7 linked regions of the Danio rerio genome follow. The protein of the gene in region 7 interacts with the protein of the main gene of each other region in a pairwise test. Links are inferred from orthologs where the notes say so. Each region holds a gene or a part of one and is shown on either strand. Other genes may lie near its edges. The genes, in order: lrsam1, tox4a, nlk2, anp32a, nudt21, prrc2b and atxn1a.

Evidence for each region.
Region 1: the proteins of atxn1a (region 7) and lrsam1 interact in binary tests that used the Homo sapiens proteins (3 or more experiments, as listed by UniProt). The link is inferred for Danio rerio from reciprocal best matches to the Homo sapiens genes ATXN1 and LRSAM1.
Region 2: the proteins of atxn1a (region 7) and tox4a interact in binary tests that used the Homo sapiens proteins (3 or more experiments, as listed by UniProt). The link is inferred for Danio rerio from reciprocal best matches to the Homo sapiens genes ATXN1 and TOX4.
Region 3: the proteins of atxn1a (region 7) and nlk2 interact in binary tests that used the Homo sapiens proteins (3 or more experiments, as listed by UniProt). The link is inferred for Danio rerio from reciprocal best matches to the Homo sapiens genes ATXN1 and NLK.
Region 4: the proteins of atxn1a (region 7) and anp32a interact in binary tests that used the Homo sapiens proteins (3 or more experiments, as listed by UniProt). The link is inferred for Danio rerio from reciprocal best matches to the Homo sapiens genes ATXN1 and ANP32A.
Region 5: the proteins of atxn1a (region 7) and nudt21 interact in binary tests that used the Homo sapiens proteins (3 or more experiments, as listed by UniProt). The link is inferred for Danio rerio from reciprocal best matches to the Homo sapiens genes ATXN1 and NUDT21.
Region 6: the proteins of atxn1a (region 7) and prrc2b interact in binary tests that used the Homo sapiens proteins (3 or more experiments, as listed by UniProt). The link is inferred for Danio rerio from reciprocal best matches to the Homo sapiens genes ATXN1 and PRRC2B.

Annotation. Positions count from the first base shown.
Region 1 is NC_133180.1:33,499,860-33,504,129, reverse strand, and holds the start of lrsam1 (E3 ubiquitin-protein ligase LRSAM1), read left to right. Parts: upstream 1-1,470; coding exon 1,471-1,539; intron 1,540-1,667; coding exon 1,668-1,724; intron 1,725-1,804; coding exon 1,805-1,849; intron 1,850-1,931; coding exon 1,932-2,009; intron 2,010-2,099; coding exon 2,100-2,168; intron 2,169-2,646; coding exon 2,647-2,731; intron 2,732-3,364; coding exon 3,365-3,486; intron 3,487-3,620; coding exon 3,621-3,711; intron 3,712-3,994; coding exon 3,995-4,104; intron 4,105-4,215; coding exon 4,216-4,245; intron 4,246-4,270. Other genes in the region: rpl12 (large ribosomal subunit protein uL11), read right to left, coding at 774-810.
Region 2 is NC_133177.1:41,101,838-41,105,932, reverse strand, and holds the start of tox4a (TOX high mobility group box family member 4-B), read left to right. Parts: upstream 1-1,295; 5' UTR 1,296-1,876; coding exon 1,877-1,981; intron 1,982-2,260; coding exon 2,261-2,320; intron 2,321-3,597; coding exon 3,598-3,900; intron 3,901-4,095. UniProt on the Homo sapiens protein: Transcription factor that modulates cell fate reprogramming from the somatic state to the pluripotent and neuronal fate. In liver, controls the expression of hormone-regulated gluconeogenic genes such as G6PC1 and PCK1.
Region 3 is NC_133190.1:32,750,437-32,754,464, forward strand, and holds the start of nlk2 (serine/threonine-protein kinase NLK), read left to right. Parts: upstream 1-1,228; 5' UTR 1,229-2,182; coding exon of another isoform or gene 2,183-2,244; 5' UTR 2,245-2,302; coding exon 2,303-2,440; coding exon of another isoform or gene 2,441-2,683; coding exon 2,684-2,778; intron 2,779-4,028. UniProt on the Homo sapiens protein: Serine/threonine-protein kinase that regulates a number of transcription factors with key roles in cell fate determination. Positive effector of the non-canonical Wnt signaling pathway, acting downstream of WNT5A, MAP3K7/TAK1 and HIPK2.
Region 4 is NC_133182.1:33,399,583-33,403,830, reverse strand, and holds the start of anp32a (acidic leucine-rich nuclear phosphoprotein 32 family member A), read left to right. Parts: upstream 1-1,448; 5' UTR 1,449-1,524; coding exon of another isoform or gene 1,525-1,535; coding exon 1,536-1,589; intron 1,590-3,714; coding exon 3,715-3,864; intron 3,865-3,961; coding exon 3,962-4,084; intron 4,085-4,248. UniProt on the Homo sapiens protein: Multifunctional protein that is involved in the regulation of many processes including tumor suppression, apoptosis, cell cycle progression or transcription. Promotes apoptosis by favouring the activation of caspase-9/CASP9 and allowing apoptosome formation.
Region 5 is NC_133193.1:24,124,155-24,128,248, forward strand, and holds the start of nudt21 (cleavage and polyadenylation specificity factor subunit 5), read right to left. Parts: upstream 2,801-4,094; 5' UTR 2,675-2,800; coding exon 2,556-2,674; intron 238-2,555; coding exon 37-237; intron 1-36. UniProt on the Homo sapiens protein: Component of the cleavage factor Im (CFIm) complex that functions as an activator of the pre-mRNA 3'-end cleavage and polyadenylation processing required for the maturation of pre-mRNA into functional mRNAs.
Region 6 is NC_133180.1:78,417,723-78,421,222, reverse strand, and holds part of prrc2b (protein PRRC2B), read left to right. Parts: intron 1-1,602; coding exon 1,603-1,705; intron 1,706-1,811; coding exon 1,812-1,875; intron 1,876-2,600; coding exon 2,601-2,744; intron 2,745-3,500.
Region 7 is NC_133194.1:34,920,948-34,924,447, forward strand, and holds part of atxn1a (ataxin-1a), read left to right. Parts: intron 1-1,968; coding exon 1,969-2,529; 3' UTR 2,530-3,500. UniProt on the Homo sapiens protein: Chromatin-binding factor that repress Notch signaling in the absence of Notch intracellular domain by acting as a CBF1 corepressor. Binds to the HEY promoter and might assist, along with NCOR2, RBPJ-mediated repression. Binds RNA in vitro.

The sequences.
Region 1 (4,270 bases), on a different chromosome or scaffold from region 7:
TAATAATTATGCTACAACCGAAAAGAAAATGGGCAAACTGGCCTATAGAGAGACAAAGTATGGCATTATAAATATACCATTGTTTGCAGAAATTCCCCCCCCCCCCCCAAAGTTGTTAAAAGAACACTAGCTGGAGTTCTACATTGTACTTAGTCACCAAAGCTATAATTTAAGTAACGGGCAACTTCGATTGTCCATTTGATCAAGACAAGTCAATAAAATTCACCTGGTTACTTTCAGCTTAAAGGCGAATAATGTACATTAAATAATAGCGCTAACTTTTTAATGGTATATTTTATATGCATTTTTGAATAAACGCTAATGTTGATCTTTATAAAATGATAAACTTTATATGCAGCAGTTGTACTGCAATTTCTATTATTTGTAACTTACTATTGCACGTTTAAAATAAAAGGCACGTTAAAACTACATAACGTATTTGACAATTCTACAGACTATTCTGCACTATTAAGCTAAAGACACGAGTTCCATGATGATCACGTGTGCAGCAAACTGCTGAACTAGAGCACATTAATCACGTTTCAAAGCTTACGATGAATCGTTAAAATAAGCCGCAGCTGGCACTTCTAAAGACACATAACATTCAATCCGATTAGACATTAAGTTTAAAATTGTTCGGTTAGATAAAGCTCAGTAGTTTTACCCATTCATCGTTTATTATAGTCCCGGCGCTCTGGAGCCCAGAGCACAAACATGGCCGCTTGGTCACGCTCAAAAACCCGTCGAAACGTTACAGTATTCCTCACACATACCAACTTTAATCTCGTTGGGGTCGAATTTAGGAGGCATGGTGTATCAGATGAAGTTGAGTTCACTTCAATTGGAATTGGTGAGGGTGTCGGATGAACCCGGATTCGGGACGACCGAAAACTGTTGCACCTTCACCACAAAAGTGAAAAAGGAAAAGGCCGAAGAGAGCGCAAGCTGAGAATATAAAGGCGACGAAGTATCGCGAGAACTTGGCAACCTTTCACACTGCGGCGACGCATTACGTCATTCACAACATCCGAGAAGTTGTTCCTGGTGTTTGTGGTGTACTGTCCGAGAGGGAGTATGCTAGGTATCACAGGACAGTAAATTGATTAAGAAACATCTCAGAGAACCTATGTTTTCATAACATATATCAGCTATAGGACTAACGGTTATTTGCGAATATCCATCGTTCAGCAGGTAACGTTACGTCCACTTGTTTATAAAGGTAATGTTGCGCAATTGTCGTAGCCAGTCTTTAGACTGATGAAAGCGGGACATTTGTGAAGGGTTATGGATATTGAATAATTATTATTTGTCAGTTTACGCGTTTGTTTTTGTGTTTTTTTGTCCTACTTCTATTAGTTCAGGGCGTTCTTGGAGATTGTCAACATCACATTCAGTCAGGTTTCACACTGAACCGTCCAGTGGATGTTGTGGGGTTTTAACTAGACAAATAAAATCTCGCTAAGCCTCACGATGTTTTTGTTCAAAAAGAAAAAACCCAGTGGCGATTCCAGGAAACGTCTCGAGTACCAGCTGTGTTTGGTGAGTGTCTGTTGCTTTGCAACGCACCCACATTTGTTACTGATAGAGATTATAAGTGTGAGCAGAGCCTCTTTTTAAAGCAACGTCCACAGTGCAGATCCTAAAACACATGCCTATGTTTTGTGCAGGCCAAAGAAGCAGGTGCTGATGACATTCTGGACATTTCTGCCTGTGAGCTTTCAGAGGTACACTTCAGACACCTTAGTGACAATCCCTATTTTCATTGTGGACAAATGATGAAATGATGAAATATCTGCTTCTTCAGGTTCCCTCCTGTGCCTTCTCTATGTGTAAAGTGCTTCAGAAGAAAGTGAGTCTGTATATTTCTTTCTCTGAACTGTTGGTGGTCGGAGCGAATACAATTTTGAAAGCAGTTTTTTCTTTAACTGTAGGTGTTAATTCTTCATACAAATGACCTGAGGTCACTCGTACCTAAAGGCTGCTGTCTTGGTGCCTTAGCAACATTAAAGGTGAGAGAAACTGACTGATGTCACCAATGAAAAATAAATAACTGTCTCGCTATATTGTCTAGTTATAACATCTCTTTGTTCATTCTAAAGGTCTTGGATCTACATGAAAATAAGCTCACATCACTTCCAGATGAGATCGGACAGCTTTCGTCCTTGCAGGTATATCTATTTTATAAGATCAAAGTTCTGAATTGTACAATCTAAAAACAGAATAATATGCTAATAGAATAATATATATATATATATATATATATATATATATATATATATATATATATATATATATATATATATATATATATATATATATATATATATATTTATAGATAAGTTAACAGCAGTTTTTTACTGTGCACCAACTCACCATATCTGGATGATTTCTGAAAAATTGGGATACAACATAATTTTTTTAAATTATCAAAAGAAAATTAAAAAAATACATATTTTATTAATACTTTTATTGCATTAATTGAATGCAGCCTTGGTAAGCAGAAGATTTATTTGTTCATAAATATTACAATGTTATCAACCTCATTGTTAATAATCCAACAATATCAACTGAATTGCTGTGTATGTTTTGTAATAACTAGAGTACTTTATATTTGTTGCTTTCATAAAACATGTTTTTTTCTCTAAGGTGCTAAATGCAGAGAAAAACCAGATCAAACAGCTGCCAGACACTATAGGAGGTCTTCTGCATCTACAGACACTTAATGTAAAAGGTTTGTTTTTAAAAATATCTATTTTTGTTCATATAATATTCATTTTTTAATTGTTTTCATCACTTTGTCTTCCTGGAATATATTCCATTTAGTTGTTAAACATTTTTCATGTTAACTTAATTTCTGTGTGCTTAACCCTGGATTATTCTTGTTCAAAACATTGTTATCAGTGGGTTAATAAATGTTGCCTACAGGAAACTGAGAAGAGGGGTTAGTACTGCTTTTTACCCTGAACTATAAACCCTGCATTGTGATACTAAACATTAAAACCATGCAAGTAGTGATACATTGTTATTGTTAGTTGCTTAAAAAACTAGCATTTGGGGAAAAAACTAAAATACTAAGAGAAAATGCAACATTTAGAGTTTAGTTTTTACCTTTTATAAACTGTATGCCATCAAATGTGCTAATGCCTTTATGTAAACTGCTGATGTGCTGCTTTGATACAATCAATGATGCTTTTTTAGAATGACTCGGGCTTGCCGGTTTCAAGTTTGAAAAGTCTTTCAGAACATTGAAAATGTGACCGTCATATGACTTTTGTCTTAATTTACTTTAGGTTTTAGGCACAATTTTAAAAATGAAGTGGAAATAAAAAAGATTAAACGAATGACAATGTTTTGACGCATACAGGGAACTGCCTTACTGTGTTGCCTGTGTCTGTGGGTCGCATGAGCAGCCTGCGGACACTCGACATAAGTGAGAACAGCATCAGAGAATTACCCAAAGAACTGGCCAGTGTTCGCACTCTGGAAGTGAGTACCTTATATGTCAATTTCAGTAAATCAAAACAAGACACATATTTGTGTAATATCACATCAAGCTCATAAACTCTGTGTCCACTCATATCTGGGATCTCATTCTCATATTTGTATATGTGTGGTTTCAGAGCCTGATCCTGGACGCACAGGTTATGAGCTTTCCACCTGCGTCAGTGTGTACAGGCGGCACAGAGGAAGTGCAGCGCTACCTCTGCTCAGGTACACCTCTGTTTTCACAGTCTCTGCAACAAAGCAACTGTATTTTACAGACCAGTTTGCAGCAGTGGTTCCCATCCAGGAGCCCCCAAAACAGTGGGGAGATATGAGTTGAAATTGCTGGCAACCACTGTATTTTAATATTTATTCGTTACTGTCTGTCTAGATTCAGACCAATAAATACAGAGTGCATGCTATACAGATTATGCAGATTTGGTTGCAATCCCATATGGCAGCCATTCTGTGCATTATCTGTATTTCAGCATTTATTTTTGATGTTATACAGATATGGGTCTGGAGTATTGTCCTCCATCTCAGTATCTCCTGCCTGTGCTGGAGCATGATGGAGGGAAGCAGGAGATGGACTGTGTTGATGGTGAGGAGATAGTCTGGCAGGTCAGTCTAAATCTCATTATTGTTAAACAGTGCTCACATTTCTTTCTGTGCCATTGTTCTATCAATGCCATACATTTGTGATGTTATCTTGTATTCTCTCTCTTACTGTAGAACAAATTTATGGACTATGAGAAAAGAAAGGTATGTTTGATTAAGTTTTGTGTTG
Region 2 (4,095 bases), on a different chromosome or scaffold from region 7:
GGATCAAATCTTTAACATGGGTTTTTCAAAAGAAAAAATGGATTACATAATTGGATAAGATCACTTTGATCCAAAAAATCTGGATTAAACTGATCCCATCAGAAAGGTGGATTTCATGCCCAAAATGTAATGTAAAATGTATCAAATAATACTATATTTGGATTATGCAGTATGTAACAAGGTATCCTATTTATTCATAAGGTTTTAATTGTATTTGTTCATCCGTCATGCTACAGTCATTAGGTAGGCTTTAACGTATTCAGTCTTACAGTATAGGCCTACAGCAAAGTAGAAAGAGTTTGGCCTCATAAAAAAATCCCCCAAACAGCTGTCAAAACTGACCAAAAACAATACATTTTATTCTGTCAATATGATCATATTGTATATTCATCACAATGGAAAATATTTTTGTTTTAGAATATTTATTAGTGATGCATGCAATGATTACAGAATAATAAAAAAAATGCAAAGAATGACAATCACTGATATTTAAATCACTTTCAACAATAGCAAAAAGAGACTGAAAGGGCAGAAGCACAGCTTCATCTGGCAGACTAACAACTGACTCTGACCAAACTGCAGCAAACCAAGACTAGACCTGAGATCCGCCCATAAAAGAAATGACAATGCCTGTACTTTGTGTGTATAGTATGCTGCTAAGTCTTACTTTTTGTATGTTTAATAATAGAAAAATTACGATGCCTGTTTTTTATTTATATTGTTTGCAAATATAGACATCAGTTAACATCTTAATGAAATTAAAAATATCCAGATAACACAAACAAAAATGTAAATTTATGAAATAGACAAAATTAAATAGACATAATTAAAACAAAACAAGATATTATGTTGTAATGGCTTGGGGAGATTGAGAAACTACATGAATTTATTCGTTTCAAATTCAACAACGCATAAGGCCATAATTGCTGTTGTTTAAAACGTTTTTTTTTACAATTAAATAACTAACCAACCTCTTAAAGATGGTTGACAACACTGACTGTGACTGGTCCTGCTTGAAGTTCGCTGAGAAAAGTAACGCCAGCCTTGTGAGTTGTGATGATCACAGTAGTAAAGTAAAAAAGTGATGGTGGCCGTGACCATTGAATGAATTACATAAAGTGTGGGGAGTTAAAAGAGAAAAAAATGCTCCACATTACAGGAACCGCGCGGGTCGTGTTAAATACTGCCAGGAGAAGGTTTTCAGGATTTGGACACAAATGAACTTATGACCGGAATGCGATTAATAAGACTTGCAAGTTGCAAACAGACAAACATAGCAGAGTACCGATCGAATCGGTCCATTTTAGCACTGGCAGAAGCTATCCATGCTAGTGAGACTCTCTAGGCAAACTTTGTTTGTTCAATCTGAATATATATTAAAAGTGTACAGTTTATAGTGTTATTTAATGGAATGTTGGATTTTACATTCAGCGAACAGGCGAATTCTCTGCCCTCGAGGCCTGTGTTATGAATGAAACCTCATGTTGGGGTTTAACAGCAGCGCTTCTGCGAACTAGCACGAATTAGCCAGTTAACGTTAGCTCAATTTGTTAGTGGCTAAATTGGTAAGCCTTCACCTACCACTCATCATAAACGCTTTTAACGGCTCTGGTTGTATTAACGCTGCTCTGTGGATCGTCTAATGAAGTTTATTGACGTTATTCAGTCGAGCAGCACAAACCTTATGCCGAACAATACAAGATGCTGTGTTGCTTGGCTCTTTTCTTTTGCTGACTAGCATTATTTCCCATTCATTATTTGTATTTTTGGTTGCTTTAGTCTGTTGCTTTTGGAATATTAGCAGCCCACTCGTTCCTCATATCAAGAAACCCAACAGACATTATTTATATATTTATCTAGTATTTATAGTATCCTCATGGATCTGAATTTTTACACGGAACTCTCTGACGGGACCGGTCAACATGTTGATTCCGAGTTTATGGACAACTCGTCCTACAATGGATATGATTCAGTAAACAAGGTAAGTCTGGCTGCTTTGTGTGTATATATATATATATATATATATATATATATATATATATATATATATATATATATATACATACATATATATATATATATATATATATATATATATATATATATATATATATATATATATATACATATACATATATATATATATATATATATATATATATATATATATATATATATATATATATATTCAGTTCAACGTAACTATATAATAAAACGCGTTTGCATGTGGTTATTGCACCTTTTAACATCCGTTTATTAGTTTGCAGGTGGCAGTGATTCATACCTGACCACCAGTGGACCTGGTCATCATTTTCTTGAGGTAGTGCTTCTTTTTGGACTGTTTTCTGAGCTAGCTTAAATTGACTAAATGTATTATTTTAAGCTTTACAGCGTCAAAGCATGCAATATAATGTTATATATCTTAATTTGTTTCCATTAGTGACTAAAGTGTCTCTGGATTTATTTAAATTTTGTGATCAAAAGATGACTATAAATCTTTTTACCTTGTTTTATAAAATACACCATATAAAACGTTAGCACATCAATAGTTTGTGTTAAAATAAATGCTTGTCAGGAATATTTATAACAAGACTTATATTTATAACTTGGTAAAATATTAAAAGTCTAATAATGATCACACAGCAGCCCCAACATGCATTTATAATTACTGTCTCTCCTTTAAACTTTTTAGTTTTTTACCCAAAATAAAAAAAAGTTTGCAATGTTAAAAAATGATTATCTCTCATCATTTTATATATATTTTTAATTGGCACAAATTTGAAAAAGTATGTTGTTTAATTTTTATGAAATCAATGTGATGATTTTGAGACATTATTTCACTCATATTCTCAGATTTAATTTTCAGAAAGATCTTCCTAATATTAAAGTAGACATTTAAGTGTAATATGTTTTGATATCTTTAATAAATTAAGTTTGATGCAGGCACTAGAATGGGACATCTTGTGTATTTTTTTATATACATGTTTTTATATTTTATTTCTGAAAATTTTTATGCAACTTTCTACCTTGCCATAAAAAAATTAGGTTTTCACCAACATAGCGAAACTCTTTCTAGGTTTTGTTTGTCTAGGCTTGTATTCAACAGGACTGCAAAAATACTCAAAGATGTCTCTGTCAATATTTTCAAACAATTATATTTGATTTACCAAAGTCACACAAGTGGCAAGAGATGTCACATCCATAACAAAGATTTTTCCTTATAAATGTGAAAATATAAAATAAAATCAGTCATTTTTGTTCTATAGAGAGCAAACATGTATTCTTTTGATCATCATTATTTCTTTTAGATTGTCCAATTTAATTCACAGAACTTGTACAAAGTACGTTGCATACTGTAAACTTTTTTGGTCACATCCATCACGTATGTTTATTTTCCTCATATAAAATAAACAAATGTTTACAGATTGATATTTTTCTGATCCCATAACTCTGTGGTGAGTTGTTTTGGAAAATATAAACAGATGTTTTAACAAAGTTAATATATAATTTCTCTGTGAATTTATGTTCTGAGATTTTACTGCAAATGTCGCATCCATAGCGCTGGAATTGCTCTTATGTCTTTATTTTTCATTTCAGAAAACATTCTATACACCCTGTCTGGGTGATGAAGAGTTCGAAATCCCAATCTCCTTGGATCCAGACTCTGCTCTCACCATAGAGGATGTGGAGGCACATTTTGGAGAGCTGGCCGAACAGGCTGAGAGCTCAAGGGGTGCTGGAGTTGGAAGTGTTCTTGCCAGTAATACTGTAGTTGGGGGAAATGATCCATCTTTTGCCTCCACCTTCATGAATCCCTCATCTCAGGGTATGGAGCACCTGACTTTGGGTGTGATGAACCAGCAGGGCGGAAGTGCACTGCTGAGCTCAACTCTGGGTGTGGTAAGCTTTTCTCTTTCTAGCAGTGGCAGCAGTGTCTGCATCGTGTTTGCTAAAGGAAATCCAGCACTTGTTTCTAATGGATTATAAAATGCTAGATAGGGCTGCATGATATTGAAAAGATCTGACATTGTGATATTTTTTTCCTGCGATATTTATTGCGATTTGAATACATTTTAACCAGATGGCTTGAATAGC
Region 3 (4,028 bases), on a different chromosome or scaffold from region 7:
ATTAAAACATGATAATAATAATAATAATAATAATAATAATAATAATAATAATAATAATAGGTGGTTCATTCCGTTGTGGCAACCCCTAATTAAATAATATAGAGCAGTTAAAATAAGACCAGTTAATATATGGGACAAAACTTGGACCTTTGTCAGTGAGGGGTGTATCTTTCGAACTATACGGACCTGAATTACCCATATAATTAAGACTTGAAACAAACAAAAACTGAAAGTAAAATGATCATTATTTTTATTTATTTATAAACCTGGACATTAAAACAAATAAACAAAAATGAACATATACCTACAAGTGATAGATGATAAGTGCCACGTGGTGTTTCTGTAATATTTATACTAATAATTAAGTTTAAAAATGTATTGTTACTAAATATACCGACATATATTTTTAGAATACTACACATTACTCAAATAAAGCTTTATTTATATCATACGTGCAAGTAAGTTTCATAAATAATTATAAAGTAATTACAAGTAATACAATGAATAACACATAAGTACCAATTGAAACAAACAGAAACTGAAAGTAATGATCTGTATTTTTATTTATTTATAAACTTGGACATCATAATTAATAAACAAAAACAACAAAACTAACATATAAGTAAAAGTGGTAGATGATAAGTGTCAAGTGGTAAGTGTTTCTGTAATATCTATACTAATTATTAAGTTTAGAAATGTAGTTTTACTAAATATACCGACATATTTATTATAAATATTATGCATCACTCAAATTAAGCGTATGTTAATGTAGAGTGAAAACTACTATAAACTTCGCGAACTGTATTATATTTAATAAATATTGTATAATGTTTGACCGTCCTTGTTCTGCATTTTGCCTTCGATTTGAAAAACGATTGGACAGCGAATCATGTGTCTCCTTTCAGACGAGAGACTCACTTCAACGGCAGGTGCTAATTGGATGGCATGTCTCGCGTAATATCTCTGGGTACGTGGGCCCCCTCGCTCTCCATTTCGGCTCAACGGCTCCGTAGACTCGCACTGTCTTTTACAGTATGCTGTAGCCGTAATGGCGCTTGCTTCCACATGCAACAAGGGCCAGTTTATTATGGCTGGACCTGCGTCTCTTCCTCTCGTCCGCTGATTGGCTGTGCTGCTTCAGAGCCGCGAGGTGATTGGTGCAGAGAGCTGTCAACGGACAAGGAATAGACGGGTACCCAAGACGGCAGGGTTGCGCGTGTGCCTTCCCAGGTCCTGGCAGCACCATCCGGCGAGGGGGTGAGGACGCTGGCCGCCTGTTTTCTGGCTGCAAGGAACACTGGATGTTTTTCTTTTGATTTCTTCTTCACTGGATGTATACATGCCCACGATTTCGAGAGCAGGAACGCGGCACGCCGGTGAACGAGCGCATCGCTATCGATGGGGAAAATAAGTTGAAGGGCTTCGGAAGAATGTTTTCCTTGTTCCAGGGAAACGGATTGCTGTGTTGATCAGCGTGATGGGTGTTTCGAGAGGATTTTGACATTTGGAGAGGATCTGGAGCAGCTATCCATCTACAGCTTAGGAGGGCTCGAGCGCAACAGAAAGCGGCAACAGAGCGCCATACTGCAAAACAAGCTTCCCGGATCGATCCAGTGTAGCAGTCTTTTCGTGCGGGAGAATTGCGCGTTTTAATGTACATGTAAACAAGTAAGCTGGCGAGCAAGTACCAAGTCAGCAGCAGCGGTGGCCTGATTGAGATCCGCGTAACTTCTGCAAACTGCATGCAGCCCTGGCGGTGGAAACAGGGCTGGAAGAGCCCAAAATGGCAAATATGAAGAAATCCAAAAGATGAATGTTGCATATCCCCCGTAACTTGTACTGTTCGCCTAATTTCCCTTCTTTCCGCGCAAGCCCGAGTTTCGAGCCGAAGCAAGGTGCTCCTCATGCCTCCGACATGAGGGAGATTTAAGGCCGTGCGGAATTGATTTATTATGGGGGGAGCGCATTCTTTTGATTTAATCCCTCTCTCCTTTTTTACTTTTCTTTTGTTTACCCTCCGCTTGAGGGTTCTTGGATGTCCGCGCTTGTCATTTTGCTAGTCTGAAACGTACAACGCGTAAAGATTCTCCGAAGTAGGTCAGATCAAAGCTGAAGAGTTGTTAGTATGACACCTTTTCACTCTCGTCTTGATGTATGCCGGACATTTATGCTTTGATTTTACCCGTCGTTTGGCTCTATGACGGCCAAATGAGAGTTTGACATCTTGGCAGCCTCCCACTCCATCTCGTTCGCCTCTTTGTTTTGTTTTTCCACCTCTCATTTCGGGCTGTTGAGTGAGTGAATGGCTCTGTGCGGAACCACGGCTTCCAATGCCGCGAAAATGATGGCTGCGTACAACGGCGGCACCGCGGCAGTGGCAGCGCATCACCCGCACCATCACCACCAGCTGCCACATCTCCCGCCACCCGCCCACCTCCACCACCATCACCACGCTGGCCAGCATCACCTCCAGCACCCCGGCTCGGCCGCCGCCGTGCACCCCGTACAGCAGCACGCTTCTACGGCCGCGGCCGCTGCTGCTGCGGCGGCGGCGGCGGTGATGCTGAACCCGAGCCAGCAGCAGCCGTACTTCCCCTCGCCCGCTCCTGGACAAGCTCCGGGGCCGGCGGCCGCTGCAGCCCCAGCACAGGTGCAAGCCGCCGCCGCGGCCGCTGTAAAGGTGCACCATCACCACCACCAACACTCGCATCACTTACAACAACAGCTGGATATAGAGCCGGACAGACCGATCGGATACGGAGCTTTCGGCGTGGTTTGGTGAGTGGAACAACTTCTGTGTTAACAGAGAATGCTCTAAATAATGCTTCTTCTGACGACTTCAAAAGGGCTCTTGAACATTAGCCTAATGTTTATGTAAATCTAAACAACAAGTTTTTATGATCTATTAATATGTGCATTTTAAAAGTTTATTATAATGTTGTGCAAGATATGATTATTAAAAATACATACGCAGAATAGAAAAAAGTTTTGTTATTATGTCACACAGAGCTGGTACACCCCTCATGGGTGCCGCCATGTTTGTCACATGACTAGCTGTGGCATAAGTTCACACCTTACTGTTATTTTGAGATGACAACACCAGCTGTTCATGTCGGCTGACTTGCAATTAGTCTTTTGTATGGACTTATTGTTAACGTCTTTACTTAGAATCTTAATCAATATGTCACAGTTAGGTGATTTACTGGTCACATGGTACAAGCAGTTGCTCAGAAACTCTTGTATTTTGAGTTGTACTAGAATGTGAACAGCTTCTACAAGTTGTAATCTATAAAACAGAGTAATTATGACACCCATGCCACTAATTGTTGCAAAAGCTTTCAGTGGAAAGTAGTTGAAGTCTGCATGATAAATGGCAGATGATGTCATGTCGATGAGTCTTGTTCAAGAAGTCACTAGATTCATTCATTTCTTTAATTCCTAAAGGACTTAAAATGTTGCTACAGAGTCGAACAAGCAAAGTGCATTTATAAGAGCTGTAGCAATAAGTCTATTCAGTTTGGTATTCTCTATTGAATTGATTCAGAACTTCGGCATTAACATCAGGTGGTGCTCTAGGCCATTGGGTCCAGACTTGATTCTGGAGGGCCGGTGTCCTGCATATTTTAGTTTCAACCCCAACTGAACACACCTCAACCTGCTAATCAAGCTCTGGCTGTCTCTCAATATGTGTTCTTCAGCGATGTCATAATTAACTGCCATAGATCAGTTCCAAAACTCAAGACCGCAAGAACGGAGGATGTGGAAAGGTTCCCGGATGCGTTCTTGGTATCGAGGATGCACCAATACAGACTTGAGCACCAAACTAGCTCTAGAAGTCCCAATAGTGATTGAGACTTGAGGTGGGAAGCGCAGCCTTTTTATTAAAGTTCAGAGATATAACTTATTTATTTATCTCAGGAGTTTCCCTAAATGAGAAAGTAAACATTACCATGAAAAGCTTTACAAAGACACATAAAGGGTTTTTATTTGTTGAAATTCGTATTAAAATCTGTTTTATTTGTATTGTG
Region 4 (4,248 bases), on a different chromosome or scaffold from region 7:
AGTACAATCAAAAGGGCTTGAGAGCAGCCCGCTTGCGCGGGTTGGAGTCAGTGGCCAGATCGAGAGAAGAAGATTTTTTTTTCTGTTGTCTTCAAGGGCAAAATGTCCTGGTGTGAAGTGATTTCGAAATAACGTTGTAAAACGACAAATTCGCCAGTGAAATGCGCTCTCTCAACAAACAACCCAGCCGGTGCACTTGTGAAAACAATCATGCGCCAAGCAGTTGCTCTACAGTTGTTTCTAAGGGGTAGCGGAGCGACACACAGACATGACATCAAATATAGGTAAAGTCTGCTGCTTTTTGTTCGTTTTAAAAGTCAATAAATGGTATTATAATTATTTGAATGTGTTGTATTTTGCGAATTAAGATGGCGCCGGGAACAGTCAGGTGACCTTGTTTTTTTCCCCCTCAATACCAACAATAGTCAAAGCGAGAAGCGGAAGTGAATGCTCCCCCTGAAATACGATTGGCCGGTTTGAACTGTAGGAAAAAGCGTGGGCTCGTGGTTGGAGTGTGCGATGTGGCAGTCAAGTGCATGTGACAAACTTGTTTTTAATAAGACTGGTAACTTATGGGCTCTGCCGTATAGCTGGGCTCGGATGTAATAATTAAACTACGTCGATTCATGTCATATCACCACTTACAGCGTTAGAGATGTCGGGATGTTACAATCTGTACGTCTCATACTGTTATGCAACAGTCACTTTGTTCGCTTTCACTAATTATGATCCATATGTTAAAACCATCATGTTGTTTACATATCAGCATTTATCTAAGCGGGGACAAAAACGGCCACTGCTTCAATCACACTCATGCTTACACGCAGTGTCGTACTTTGTGTTCACTGTAAACTAGAATATAAGTATTGAAGATTTTAGCGCAGATAGTGTCAGTGGTCGCCACCGTGCATTCCCTCCAAAAGGGGGAGGGGTCGTGTTTTCCTGACGGTCTACCATCCATCAGTCCAAAGTGACTGACTGCACTTACCTGATAGGAAATTATATGCTTCAAAACAGAAAGCAGCACTCTGACTAAATATTTATGTTTACCACCCTCGTTCACACGATCCTTGCGGGCTTCATTGCGTTTAATTTTATTAATTTCAAAGCGCCTTGGTAGACAAATAACTCGTTTATCTTCAACTTAGCGTACATAACCCCACTCAAAACTAAAGCAACTACCATAACCTCTATTTAGTATCTGGCGCCTTCGCCAGTTCGGTTGATTTTATCGCATAGATGTCACCCTAAAACAGATTCGCAGGATCAACCTAACTGTTCCTGTAACCCCACCCAGTTTGTAATCGGCCGCTGATTGGCCGTCAGCTCAGTTGTGAGTGTTTTCACATTCCGTTGCGCGTTTCTAATTGGTCGCTGGTGACGACAATCCCACACCCAACTCCCACCTTCTGAGGCATCATGTTTGTGAGACTCGCAATAGCTAGTTTGTTAAGAGGCTATAGCTGAATGTGCAGCAAAGACTCCAAGTCTAACTGCGCTCTTTGGTTTAAATCACTCATTTAGAGTTCACAGAGATGGATATGAAAAAGAGAATTCACCTGGAGTTGCGGAACCGGACGCCGTCAGACGTAAGCATCTTTATTAATTGCTGAGTGATATGATTTTATTAAAACTGTTGGTTAGAGTAGTTCTGCGTGGATGGACAACACTAGATGTGCACGCGTCAAGTTGATGTCTTGAATGAAAAGTTTGCGGCGACTTTGTTGCGAGCCTAGAGCCTTGGATGTTGTTATCTCAGTCTACCTTCACGCGGCCCATAAGTTTACCAGTTTTCCCGACGAATTTCCCCAACTTTCGCGAGACCTTTTGGTGATGCTGTGGTCTGAGACTGCAAGAGCTGCATGCATTCAGTGTATAAACAAGGGAAGCGGCGTGAGAAGCCATATTTGTAACTTTGTAGCCCCTGAACGCGCCCTTTTCCTTTGCATCCTCAGTGCTGCAAAAGTCGCCCGCCGTCAGTTCATGCCTCTCTCACACTTTCGCACATCCATTTTCAATTCAACATTCATACTTGCCAGTCACAGTGGTCGTTGGCCAGTTCGGTAACTTGTTGTGGGACGCATTTTGTGGATTGCTGTGCAGACGATTTGACAGATAGCTCGCGATAACCCGATCGGTCAACTAAATTTGGTGGCATCTCTCCAGCAAACGGCTTTTATTGACGGATTTGAGCCGGAATGGAAAACATTTTCGTTTCTCAATCAAAGAAAGTTGTGTAAATACTTAGGCGGGATCTTTCCGTGGGCTTTCGGCACGTTGCTAATCATCGCGTATTTGGTTTGGTTATGACTGTAAAAACATATGAACACATTTGTTGTTGGCTATAGAAAGAATCGTGTCAGAGTGTATCTTGTTGCGTAAAGGTTCCCAAGCCTATTTAAAACTGCATATGTCGACGACATTGCCAGAATGCAAAACCCAAATCGGTATTCCCTCTTTCACTTGTGTCCTCCGTGTTTATCTTACGATATCTGAAGTGTAACCACGTTCTCTGATGAATTCAGAGCAACAATAATCAGGGACCCCGTCATTGCCCCATTACGCATACCCCAATACGCTGTAATAGAACTCGTAATTAAAATGTCATAACCGTGTTCTGGCCACTTCTGTGCGTCTCCACTGGCTGGATAAAGAGATTTTTAGCCGTGTGGCTCGGCTTGTTATTGACAGACTGGGCGCTTATGTGAGCGCTACGCAACTTGAAGCTGCGCTGCTCTAGTTGCAAGATCTAGGACAAGCCGCCATTTTAACCAGCAACAAAGACGCACGATATTTAATCGAGCAGAGAATCGTCGCCGCCTTCGTCTCCGTGCTTTGAACCGAGCAGAGGCGCTGAATACCGAGAGCCGAGCCCGTTTAAAGCCGGGACATTTAATTTTTATTCCGTGAAAGTCAATACCTTTCGCTTAAAGAGCGAGTCCGTTGCATTATCATGCGCCTCTCTGCCCCTCCTACTCGTGAATTCTTGGGTCCGTCCTCGTGTCTTCGCTCTTCCAAGACAATGTAATGCATTTGTGTAACACCCAGGCTATCGTTTACGCGTCTTCGCTTTGCTGTTCCAGCACGCACTATAGTAAAATGTTCTCCCAATGAGAAAACAATGTACGCCGCTTGTTGCGGAGTCAGCCATTTTGTTGGATGGAGAGTCAAATGTGAGGTTTTGTCAAAGCACCCAAACACGCACCCCTATCTGTTACTGTAGACCGCATGCTGAAGTAAACTTAACAACTGAATGGCGCCCGACTCGGTCGTGGCGTGTTTATTGTGCTCAGTTTTTTTCTATCTTTAGCCAATTATCTTCGAGGATGAATGTGTTGTATGCCATATAAAAGTAATTTCTGAGAATTATAAACCATTTAAACGAAATTTCTTTTACACTAATGTGTATTTTAAATGACATTTCCTACGTGGGAATCAATAAAATAATCGACTAAAACATACTTAGAGGACACTGTAATTGCTGATTATTATGTAGACAGTAAATGAAAATGTGCCTTTTTATGTGAGTTTTAATATGGTTAGCTTTTTGGTGGTAAACAATAACATTAGAAGCAAACTGAAGAAGTTACAAACAGCTGATTTAACCACCTCGTTCATCTAATTGTTTTGAAGTTGCAGGTACAGACTAACAAATGCTTTATTAATTAATCATAACATTTTAATATCCTTTTCTTCTCATGTGCCCTTGAACAGGTGAAAGAGCTTGTGCTCGACAACTGTCGGTCAAATGAGGGCAAAATCGAGGGCCTCACTGATGAGTTTGAGGAACTGGAATTTTTAAGCACAATCAATGTAGGCTTAACATCAGTCACCAATTTGCCGAAGCTTAACAAACTCAAAAAGGTAACGAGCAGCTTCTTGTTAATTTTTTTCACAAGTGCCAGCGGTGTAAAGTTTTGCTAGGTCTTATTAATTTGCTACTGAATCATGTTCTCCGCAGCTCGAGCTCAGCGATAACAGAATCTCAGGGGGTCTGGAGGTACTGGCAGGGAAATGTCCCAACCTCACCCATCTCAACCTCAGTGGCAACAAAATTAAAGACCTCAGCACCATCGAACCCCTGGTAAGCTGCGTTCATACTAGTGCTAACGGAGTCATGTGCTGATAAACATTTATTATTAATATTGATGTGTGGAAGTATTACCAATACCGACTACAAACCTCAAAATTTTGTTGTTGGTTGTCAAATGCTTATCAGTGTTTGTTTTTTTCACTGTCCTCTTTCCT
Region 5 (4,094 bases), on a different chromosome or scaffold from region 7:
ATTCATCACATCCACAACACACAATCTATAGCTTACAGTTTGAAGAAGGTTGTCCCCAGCTGAAGTAGCAGAACATGAGGGAGTCTGTGCTCGTGCACGATCAGAACACCCTCCACAGTCCGCCGCATCCCGATTTTCTCAAATTCTTCCCGCATCCGCTGAAAGCGTGCGGCTACCGAGCTGTCCTTCTCATAGAGCGGCTCCTTGGTGCCGAATGTGTAATTTGTAAGAGGGTATCTTTGGAAAAACAAACATGTTATTTCATTTAAATTGAGGTGTGATAAAGCTTTAATAATCCACACACTGCAAAACAAAACATAGCATCATAACAAAATAATGAGGGAAAAAAGATGGCAAGCACTGTATGTGGCCGCTAGTAGTAGGGCTGCACAATATATCGTTTCAGCATTGATATCGCAATGTGAACATTCGCAATAGTCAAATCACGAGTATATGCAATGTTGAGTCTGGGTTATAATTTACAATATTTCAAGTGTTTTTGAGGCCTGTGATTGTGTGAGGGTTTTAACAGCATGTGTACAGCTTTTAACTAAAAAATAATAATGATGAATTTGCTTGTTTTATTTTACAATTAATCATTTACTGTACACCTAAATGCAGTTTGACTCCTCAAAAACAATAAAACACTGTTTATGTAATTTGTATTTTTCTTTATTGAATTTTTCTATGCTTGTTTCTTATTTTTTTATGCATGCACTCTTCTACAAAATCATCCCAATCAATCTAAAATTTCTAATTCTTTCCAAATAGGCTTGTAAAATTGTATTTATATTGCAATTTATGTCACAGAACAAAAACATATCCCAATGTTAGATTTTTCAAATACAGTGCAGCCCTAGCCGCTAGTCATGTAAATTTCCATAAAGCTTCAAAACCTTTAAGAATCTTGTTTTCAAATAAGTGGTTGCATATCAAGGGGTCACAAAAAGTCACAATTTATGTAATGGAGGATGCATTTCATCATAATTATTTCAAAAAGTTATTAAAATCCAATGGTTCATGTATCTGTGCGTCTGAATTATGCCAGATTCCCAACTGTATTTATCAAAGCTTGTGATTGGTTTGTTACTGTATATTATTGCAAAATCACTCCCTTAATAAATCACCTAAATTATGAATTCTTTTTGAATAGACCTACTCATTTCATCTAGTAAAATTATCGCAATGTACATCGCAGAGGATTAAAATATCACTTGGTAATTTCTCCCTAATATTGTGCTGCTCTAATTTTGACCAGAAGGCATTACCAATCTGTGGTATTTTGAATGTTTAAAGGTTTTGTGAAGTGCTTTGAAATGGGCATTTATATTCCATGTTTGAGGTAATCTCAACTGAAACATAATGAAATGGTGGCAGTTCCTCCCCTTTAGAAAATAAAAACAGAGAATAGCGTTTTGTTTTTATCACAAACAATCTCTGCCAATGAGAGTGTTTGAGCTTAAGGCATCAAATGAATAGCAAATGAGAACCATCTTGGCAGGGGGTGGGGTTTATGCTCACATACTAGAGAGCATTTGATTGGTCAAGATTTGGTGAGTAAGTAAAACATGAAGTGACCTATGAATAATCATAGATTAGGCGGAAGTGACAAACTGCGGGCTTTAGATGTGTATATATCTTATAACGCAAATTGAGTCACTGTTTGAGCACACTAGCTTATAGATATCCTCAAAACTAACATCTAAAAAGCTTTATTTTTACTTTTTATTTTATTTCACAGGTCCTACCTTTAAAAGAGCAATCATTTATTAATTTTATACAAAGTGTAATTTGGATCTTGTGCTCGCCTATTATGGGCGTTTCATTCCATTGTGTTTTCATACAGCTTTTTGTACAAATTAAAAATAATACTCCCAAATAAGGGTTTCAATATCAAATTTGAATTTACATTAAAGATCATTCATATTAATATTTGATTAACATTGGCATAAGGTTAGCGTTATTAACAAAATCAACAATTATAATAACAATTCTACCGTCACTCAATATAATCAATGATTGGGATTTGTTTACGTAACTTGCTCAAGAATTCGACTGTTTGATTTCTAAGTCATACTTAACGTTACACCAAAATAATAACAAATAACACCATAAACCACAAATAATCAAATAACATTTCAATAACATTGCGCCTGTCGACTAATGTTAGTGATATTTTCGAATAAATGTGCAAAGAGCCCTAGGATAAATCACCGAGAACAATGCTAACTGCAACATATGGAATACAAAACTAATAAGAACTATATCGAACTCTTATATTTCAATATCCCTGCATATGTACACACTGCCATAAATGTGCATGCATTTTGCCACATAAAAAACAAAACTCTGAATATTTCACTGTATTGTTACGCATGCAAACAAGAGCTGGCAGCAAGAAGCTACGGTAGTCTGCCATGGTCAAACGCTAACAATGCTAACGTACTGACATGAAAGGCACAATGCAGCAGCACTAGGATTTACAACCATTAAAGCTTGTTTAAGTAATCGCATATATCGTTTGTAGTGTTGAATTTTAAGTTCAAGTTACTCACAGGTTGATTGTTCTCTCCAGGGTGAGGGGTTTAGTCGCCTGGGTAATGTATTTATTGCCGAACTGATTTACTCCTCGAGGCCAACCGGTAGATGATCGATTAGGAGGTACAACTGACATCGTATGACGGATTATTAAATCACTTCCTAATATTTGCACTAATCGCGTTTTTTTCCACGTTGATTACTTTATTACTGTGATTGAATTGCACAGCCTTGGCGCTCGATGAAAACTGGAATACGGCGCTCTGCTGTGAAAGCACATCCGGGACATTGGGTTACTTCCTGTGTTACGACCGTGTGTTTCGGCTCTTCAGATTTTTCTCATCTGATCTATGAGCAAGAGTTGTTTTCCACATTATAAGTAGTGGGTTTGAACAGTCCAGACACGATTCAAACCCTTACCCTTCAAACAGAGGGTTTGTGGTTGTTTATTACACTTTTCTGCCTGCTACAAGGCGTGTTTTGGTGTCTGTTAACCTGACATCACAAACACAAGAATACCACAGAAATGTCCAAACTAGATTATTAAACCATGTATTAATCAGAAAAAGACAGTAACAATTAAACCACTTATATAGCCTGTAATAGTTATTTAGGGAATTTTACCATTTAATGTTTGCAAGATTGCTTTGTGTATACGTAGCCTAATTTTTGCTTTAATGTAAACAGAACAGTTTTTTTAATACTTTATACGGACCTTTGGTGTTTTTAAAACATCATCAGTCGGTGCTATTCCCACATATCAAAAAATATCTGGCCCACATAATCAGCTTTTGCTTGGCCCACTTGCGGCAGTAAATTATGGTATATGAGTGGACCAATTCTGGCTTTTAGACAAGGACCAAACATGGACAATATCTGGGCCAAGTCTCAGACAAGTTAATAACCCATAACTGAGCCTAAACTTCACCAGATATGTTTTTGTATCCCGTCTGCAATGAAATTGATATACTCAGGGATCATTGCGCTTTAGGCATGCTATGGGCTTGCTTTTTCTCGAAGCGATGATTGGTACTTGGTAGAATTTTTTTCTTTATTTGAAAATAATAAAAATGTATTTTAAATGTGGGTCAAGATAAGCCTAACGTTCATGGCTCATATATCAATTGTTAACATCTGGCCCGAGTAGGCCTATTGTGTGCCGTCTTAAAGACGGTGCCACCTCTGCCAAACCAGGGCCATGTTTGGCCTACATGCTGTATGCCAGTGCCAGACAAATGCCTGCCCTGCCAGATATATGCCATATCTGGGTCAGAATTCTTTTCTACCTGTGTTGGAGGCACAACAAGTTAGCCTACACTGAATCACTTGCATATTTTGCTAAACATGTGATCAATTATTGCCATTCTTTAAGCCAGGAATGTCAAACTCAGTTCCTGGAGGGCCGCAACCTTGCACAGTTTAGCTTCAACCCTGCTTCGATATACTTACCTGAAACCTGAAGGACTCAATTAGTTTAATCAGGTTTGTTTAATTAGGGTTAAGCTAAACTGTGCAGAGCTGTGGTCCATCAGGAACTGAGTTTGACACCTGTGCTT
Region 6 (3,500 bases), on a different chromosome or scaffold from region 7:
TTCCCCTATAGCGCATGTGTTTGGACTGTAACCGGAGCACCCGGAGGAAATCCACACCAACACGGGGAGAACATGCAAACTCCACACAGAAACACACACTGACCCAGCCGAGACTCAAACCAGAGACCTTCTTGCTATGAGGCCACAGTGCTGACCACTGAGCCACTGTGACGCCTTGTTGATTTGTAATATGTAATTCAATCCAGAGTTCAGCAAGCAGATTTGGAGATTTCAGGAGTTGCCCGTTCATTTATAAAGGATTTTGGGTGGGCATGTGCTCCCCGAGGGCGTTACAAATATGGCCGCCGAGTGAACAGACTTTTTTGAAAGGGACTTTGATTAAATCCCTCCTCCTTCTTCAGCTCAATTTCATGTAGAATCATGTGACGTGATCAGTTTTTCTTGTCATGCGATGATTAAACAGTAAGAGTTGAGGATGAACATGCATGTGCATCAGTGTACTGCATCTGTGCAGCTCTTAAAGGGACAGTGCGCTATATTCCTGCTGTCAGCTGAGCTTATTATTAATAAACGAATAATAAAAGACAAACTCACTCTCTGCTCTCGACAGAAAGGTCATCTTTAATACATACAGTGACCATATTTATATACTTCGTAATATGTGTATATTTGAATACTGTTGTGTTGTTTGTTAGTGCCGTTCTGCTTTGCTATTGAGAATTGTGAAGTGTCATGATCTTTAAGACGTACAGGTGTAATGGCAGCCTTATTTACAGAGAGAAACTAAGATATAAACTGCACTGCAGCTCTAAGTGTGAACTGAAGGACAGATTGAGGTGTGTGTGTGTGTGTGTGTGTGTGTGTGTGTGTGTGTGTGTTTACAGCAGGTGCATCTGTAGGTCACACTGATTGTGTCGTGCAGATCTGCATATATTAAAGGCTTGTGTGCAAAAGGAGAGATGCTCATGTGACGGTGTCGGTCCTGTGTGTTTGGAGATTATGAGGATGTTATTACAGCTGCAGTTATCATACAGATAAAGTGGATCTGTTTCAATGTCACAGCAAATATTCAGTCTTAAATGCTATGATTTAAAGGGGCAGCGCACCCAAAATATTCATAATATTATACTCGGGTGACATTTTCCAGCAGTGTGTGCTTTAGCTGCAGATGCTAACCTCAAAGCAGACTCTGCATGGCGTATCTAATACAATATTATGCTCTTCATCATGTTATGGTTTTAAAAAGTGCTGAAATATTGACTGAAATCTCACAGTAACCGAGTCAACACATCATTAATCTACTAAAATACACATAGCTGGTGTCTTTAAGTTCATATTTTCCAAACAAAACTCTACCTAAATACTCATACAAACACTATTATTATTATTATTATTATTAATATTTGAGAACTTGCATTATTATTGCATTATCTATTTAAGTTTGTTTATAAAAAGAATAGGTTAATATTGGAGATGCTAAACATAGCTGCACTTTTAGAAACACTCGTACTCTTTATTTTACTTTGTTCTCTAAATACCCAGCTCTATTTCTGGATGTGAGCTGATGCATTTATTGATATGCATTGAATCTGTCATCTGATTGGCTGATCAGAGTGTGTGTGTGTGTGTTTCCTCCTGCAGTTCCGTTGCATCATCAGCACAGCTGCCGGAGCCGCAGCCGCCGCTGGCTTTACAGAAATCTGTGTCCAATCTTCAGAAGCCCATGCCAATAACCAGCCCGGAGGTACGGCGTGTGTGTTGTACATGAGTAAAGGTCATAATCACGTGTGTGAGTGTGGTGTATGAGTAAAGGTTATAATCACGAGTGTGTGTGTTTTCTGTTCCTGCAGAGCACAAGTACAGGTGGACCAAAGCAATGGGCACAGCTCAATGGAAAGGCAGTCGATCAAGATGGTAATGATTTTCAGCTCTCTCTGCGGATAATATGCAGATATTCAATGATTCAGCATGTCAAGACTGTGCATGTGTGTTATATTAATATTAGAGCATGACCAATTTTATTTCAGATACCGATATCAGACTAAATAAGTACCGATATCGATGTATATCGGCCGATATTCTTCATATGCAGAGTACAGTATCAGTCAAAAGGACACATACCTATTCATGTGTCTAAACTTGACTAGTACTATAAACAAAATACAGTATAACCATGAATATATATTGATATATGAACATTTTTGCTATGATTTTTAATATATATTTTAAAGTAATTTTTTAGCTCGGCTCAATATTGTGATGATAAAGTAAATCATGAGAAACACTTTATTTTGATGGCATTATTATTACTATTCACAGCTCTTAGTTTTACACATACACAGTACAATATGCATTGAAATGCTTATACTGTAAAAAATCATATTTAAAGCAACACCTTGGAGTATAATTTGTAATGCTAATAATATATAATAAATATAAATGCTATTTGATCTGTGGTGTTTGTGTTATCTGTTGAACTGAACATGTTGTAATGTAATTGTTTCTGTTTGGATCATCTCTTACTGAATTCTGAAGTTATTATTATGTCACGTTTTCACCATTATTTTTACATGAAATATGCATAAGTTGCTGAATGCCAATAAATAAACAAAACTCAAATGTGTGTGATTGTGTTTCAGGTTTAAAGGTCTCAAGCCGACTGCAGCCCTTCTCTCACGAGGATTTTCCGACGCTGAAGGCAGCAGGAGAACAGGACAAAGTTGGCAAGGAAAGAAGCGTCTTCGATCCGTCGTATGGGCCCGGACCAAGCCTCCGCCCGCAGAGTGAGTCCAGCTCTACACACCGACGTTACGATTAAAGACCCAAAAATGAAGATTCGGTCATTAATTACTCGTTCCACACCCTGAGAGCTTCGTTCAGTCAAAGCACAAATGCAAATTATCATGATGATAGTAAATCTTTCATACCGGGGATGCCCAAAGATTTTCATATGAAGGGCAAAAAACCAAATATCATTGAGAGCCGTGGGGTGAAGATGAATATACCAAACTATTTTACAATAAAGTTGCTGTGGGTAATTTCCCTTATTTATTTCAGAATATTTCAAAATAAATAGAAATTATTTAATTATAACTTATTGCAATAAAACATTGAACACTGAATACACTAGTCAAGCAGAGTCTGCCTTTGCCTTGATTTGCTCACTAAAGTCTCTGCACTGTCCTCTATCTGTCGGGTGACAGTATGCACATTATAAACTAAATTACAGCATTTAAATTTAAACATTTCATTTCAATTCGCTTTTTTTTGTGGCTTTACAATAAAACAAGCAGACTAAAGGTTGTCATTTTAAATTTGAAATGACACCATCTAAACCATCTCCATCACTCTCTTCTCAGATGGGATGGTGGGCCAAATCAAAGGTTACCATGAGCCTACCACGCATCACAGACATGTGATTAATTGCATTCAATTTATGCATTGGTTGTTTATCTAAATTTGACCAATCAGATCTTGTTAACTTTAACCCCGCCTTCAAAGTAGTTTCTGTTCTGCTATTGGCTGGAGCTGAACCCAGA
Region 7 (3,500 bases):
TTTTTTAATGTTTATATGAACATTCCATAACTGTTTGTTATTAAAGGTGCAGTAGGTGATTGTCTTCAGAAACACTTTTTGTTGTACTGGTTGAAAGTCTCTTTACAGTCCAATAGTAATGATTACAGTAAATAATCTAAATGTGTTTATATGTATTTTTATATTCTGGTTAAGGCATAAAACTAAAAAATGTTCATCCAATTAAATAGAGTCAGACCGACATCTCCCATAATTCCGATAAGCAGGTCAGACTGTCTGTCAGCAAATGTAGATTCGGACTTCTGCGCATCTGTTCACGCAGATCCGCCATTAGGACGTGCCCGTCTGCATAAGCGGCCGCGCGGTCACGAGACGGACCGGTAGAAATCAAATGCTTAATTGAAACTTTTAAAAACCTGAATCAATATTGGAGTTACTTTAGCAGGCTGGTGGAAGGACGACATCATGGCTGAAGTATTACTGTTAGACATGTAATGTTCTGTTTTAAAACTATTTTAGTCAGGCTAAGCTTATGTTAGATTGTGTTCTGCTATGAATGACTTATATGCACAGACGTGTTGTTCAGACCCTGAAATCTCCCGGTGAAAGATTGATGTGATTATTTTCAGTTTCATAAGGTCCTTTTACAGCATCGATGATGTAGATCAGGGGTCACCAATCTCGGTCCTGGAGGGCCGGTGTCCCTGCAGGGTTTTGCTCCAACTTGCCTCAACGCACCAGCCTGGATGTTTCAAGTATACCAAGTAAGACCTTGATTAGCTTGTTCAGGTGTGTTTGATTAGGATTGGAACAAAAATCTGCAGGACACCGGCCCTCCAGGAACAAGTTTGGTGACCACTGATGTAGATTTATGTTTAGTTTAACAAGAAAACATCAGTAAATAGCGCTATTTTGCCTAGCCTACTTTATTGAGCTGAAGTTGCTTTTATATTCACATTGGGTCATTTTTGAACAATGACAGCCTTCCTATACTGTTTACCATGCTACTCTGAATAATCTGTCTGAAATAGCATGTAAGTGTGGCTAAGTAATAAATGTAATTCCCGCACAGCACTGGCACTGACTAACTGGCGAATTACATGAACTAGTGGGTTGTCTGTCTGCTGTTGTAACGCGGTGCGCGCGCTCGCGATTTCAGGGGGTGTAGCTTTGAATCACAGTCCCTCCCCGCCGTCCCAATATAATATGCTAAGGGGTTATCGTTTTGGCAGATCACCTACTGCACCTTTAATTATATACAGTGCATATTTGAAGTATATCATTTACATTAGAATCCAAATTGCAGTTATTTGAATCATGCCATTTTATGAGGTGTGATTACAGTTGAAATATCTTGGCAAATTGGCCAAATATTATGACGGTTTCATAATATGCAGATGGATTCCAAAGATGGGTAATTTAATTTCATGTTTAACAATTGTCAGTTAAAAATCTTTACAGCATTTGCAATTGCCCAGGGATCTTTTTTTTTTTACTTTACATCTTCCGTGCAACTTCATCATCTCGCTTTGAATAAGCATATGGTAGTCATTAAGTTTATATTTTTATATGCTGTGAGAGTGTGAATGTCCCCTTATATGAACTCCACCTGCACTCAATCAGTGTAAGTAGATGTGGGGCAAATTGGCAGCTGAAATCATCTCCCTGTTCCATAATCCCTCCCCTGGCTGTCCCCATGGCATCTTTGTTTAGTTTGTGTGGGATTCACTGGCAGAATTGAGTCATTCCTTATTTCTGCTTCCTTCTGTTGTACTGTGAGTGGGCTGTATGAAAAATCTGCTTCATTTGTCTGGGAGTTGAGATGGGGCCACCCACTCGAAAGCAGTTCTAAAGTCTGTCATTTCGAGAGGCACTGATTAACAGATGCTTTTTAGCAAAGACATTCATTCATATCATCAGGCATTTGTGCACGACTTCTACTTTCGGAAGTCATTGTCCTCTCTTTTTGACTCCCTTTTTCTTTTGCAGGTCAGTGTGGAGGTACTAGTAGAGTATCCTTTCTTTGTGTTCGGCCAGGGCTGGTCATCTTGTTGTCCGGATCGGACTACTCAGCTGCTCGAGCTGCCATGCACCAAGCTTTCAGTGGGTGACGTCTGCATCTCCCTCACCCTGAAGAACCTGAGGAACGGTTCCATCAAGAAGAGCCAGGGGCAAGTCTTGGATGCACCTGCACTCGGTCCACCTCTTAAATCACCAAAAGCACTCTCAAGTGGCGCACGAGGGGGTGTTCGGCACACAGAACAGGAAAATGGACTCGGGCAGTGTGCAGATCAAGGAAGTAGAGGCGGTCAAGGCAATAGAGAAAACGGAGAACTGAGGTTTGGTGAAAGGGACAACTGCAAAGCTCCAACACTCACAGAATCAGAGACCAGCAGTAAACCCACAGGTCGAAAAAGAAGGTGGTCTGCCCCTGAGGGTCGTAAAGTAGAAAATCCAGAAGGAGAGCCCCCTTTAACGTTCCCTAAGCCTTCTTTCATCCCTCAGGAGGTTAAAATCAGTATCGAAGGCAGATCAAATATTGGAAAGTGAACATGCGTCGGACTGTCTGCTTTTAAAATTGCAAAATTTGCCCTCAGAATGTTTTTAATTGTTCTGTTGTCCAGATTTCTTTTCCTAAAGGCAAAATTTACTCAGTATCTATGTTATCACATCTAACATTGTAATTGAGGAATTCAATTTTACACAGGCAATTGGTGCAATTCAATTGATTGGTCAAATTCAAGGTGGATGTAGAGCAAGGTGAGAAGGTTGTGAGACGGCATGTTATCCTGAAGGCTCCGGCATATAAAATTACTCACAGCTGACAAGACGTCTCTCTAGTCTCTCACCTACAAAATTCTTTTGGCTTACAAACGACACTTAGTGGCAATTAAAACATTCGCTTGCTGAACCTAAAAATGTTAGTAAGGGAAGATGAACAAGTGGTGTGAATGTGGTGGCAGAACGGAAATCACTCCTCCACTGGTTGCAGGAGTTTACATGATGTCAGCCATCTTGTTTAACTGTGACTACAAGAGACTATCCAAATCGATCCTAACAATATAGAGCAGTATGGTCAGCACAGTTAGACTAGCAAAGATTCTGTTAACGTTTATTGAAGTGCAAAAAGAAGTTTCCAAATACTATGGTACAGGCCAAGAGAGATGATGTCATTGAGCGGTGCCAGTTTGCTCCTCAGAAAAGACGAAACTATCACTTTAAACAGGGAAGATGGACGAATCTATTTTTATATATCCAACTGTCTAACCTTTTATTTGACTATTTTTGTAGTTTTGCATGTCTTACTTTTCAAACCCTCCTATCATACCTGATGGGTAGATTTTTCTTATGTTTCCCTCCCTTTTTTTGTGATGAATGTGTCAACCTTGCAATCAGGGGTCATTTTTTTGTATGTAGACACAGAATGGGTTCTTGTCTATGAATATATATGCATGGATGTATCTTGATGCATACAAACACAATGGGTGAGGAAATCGACCAGTCTTTTGTTTTAGTGCAGT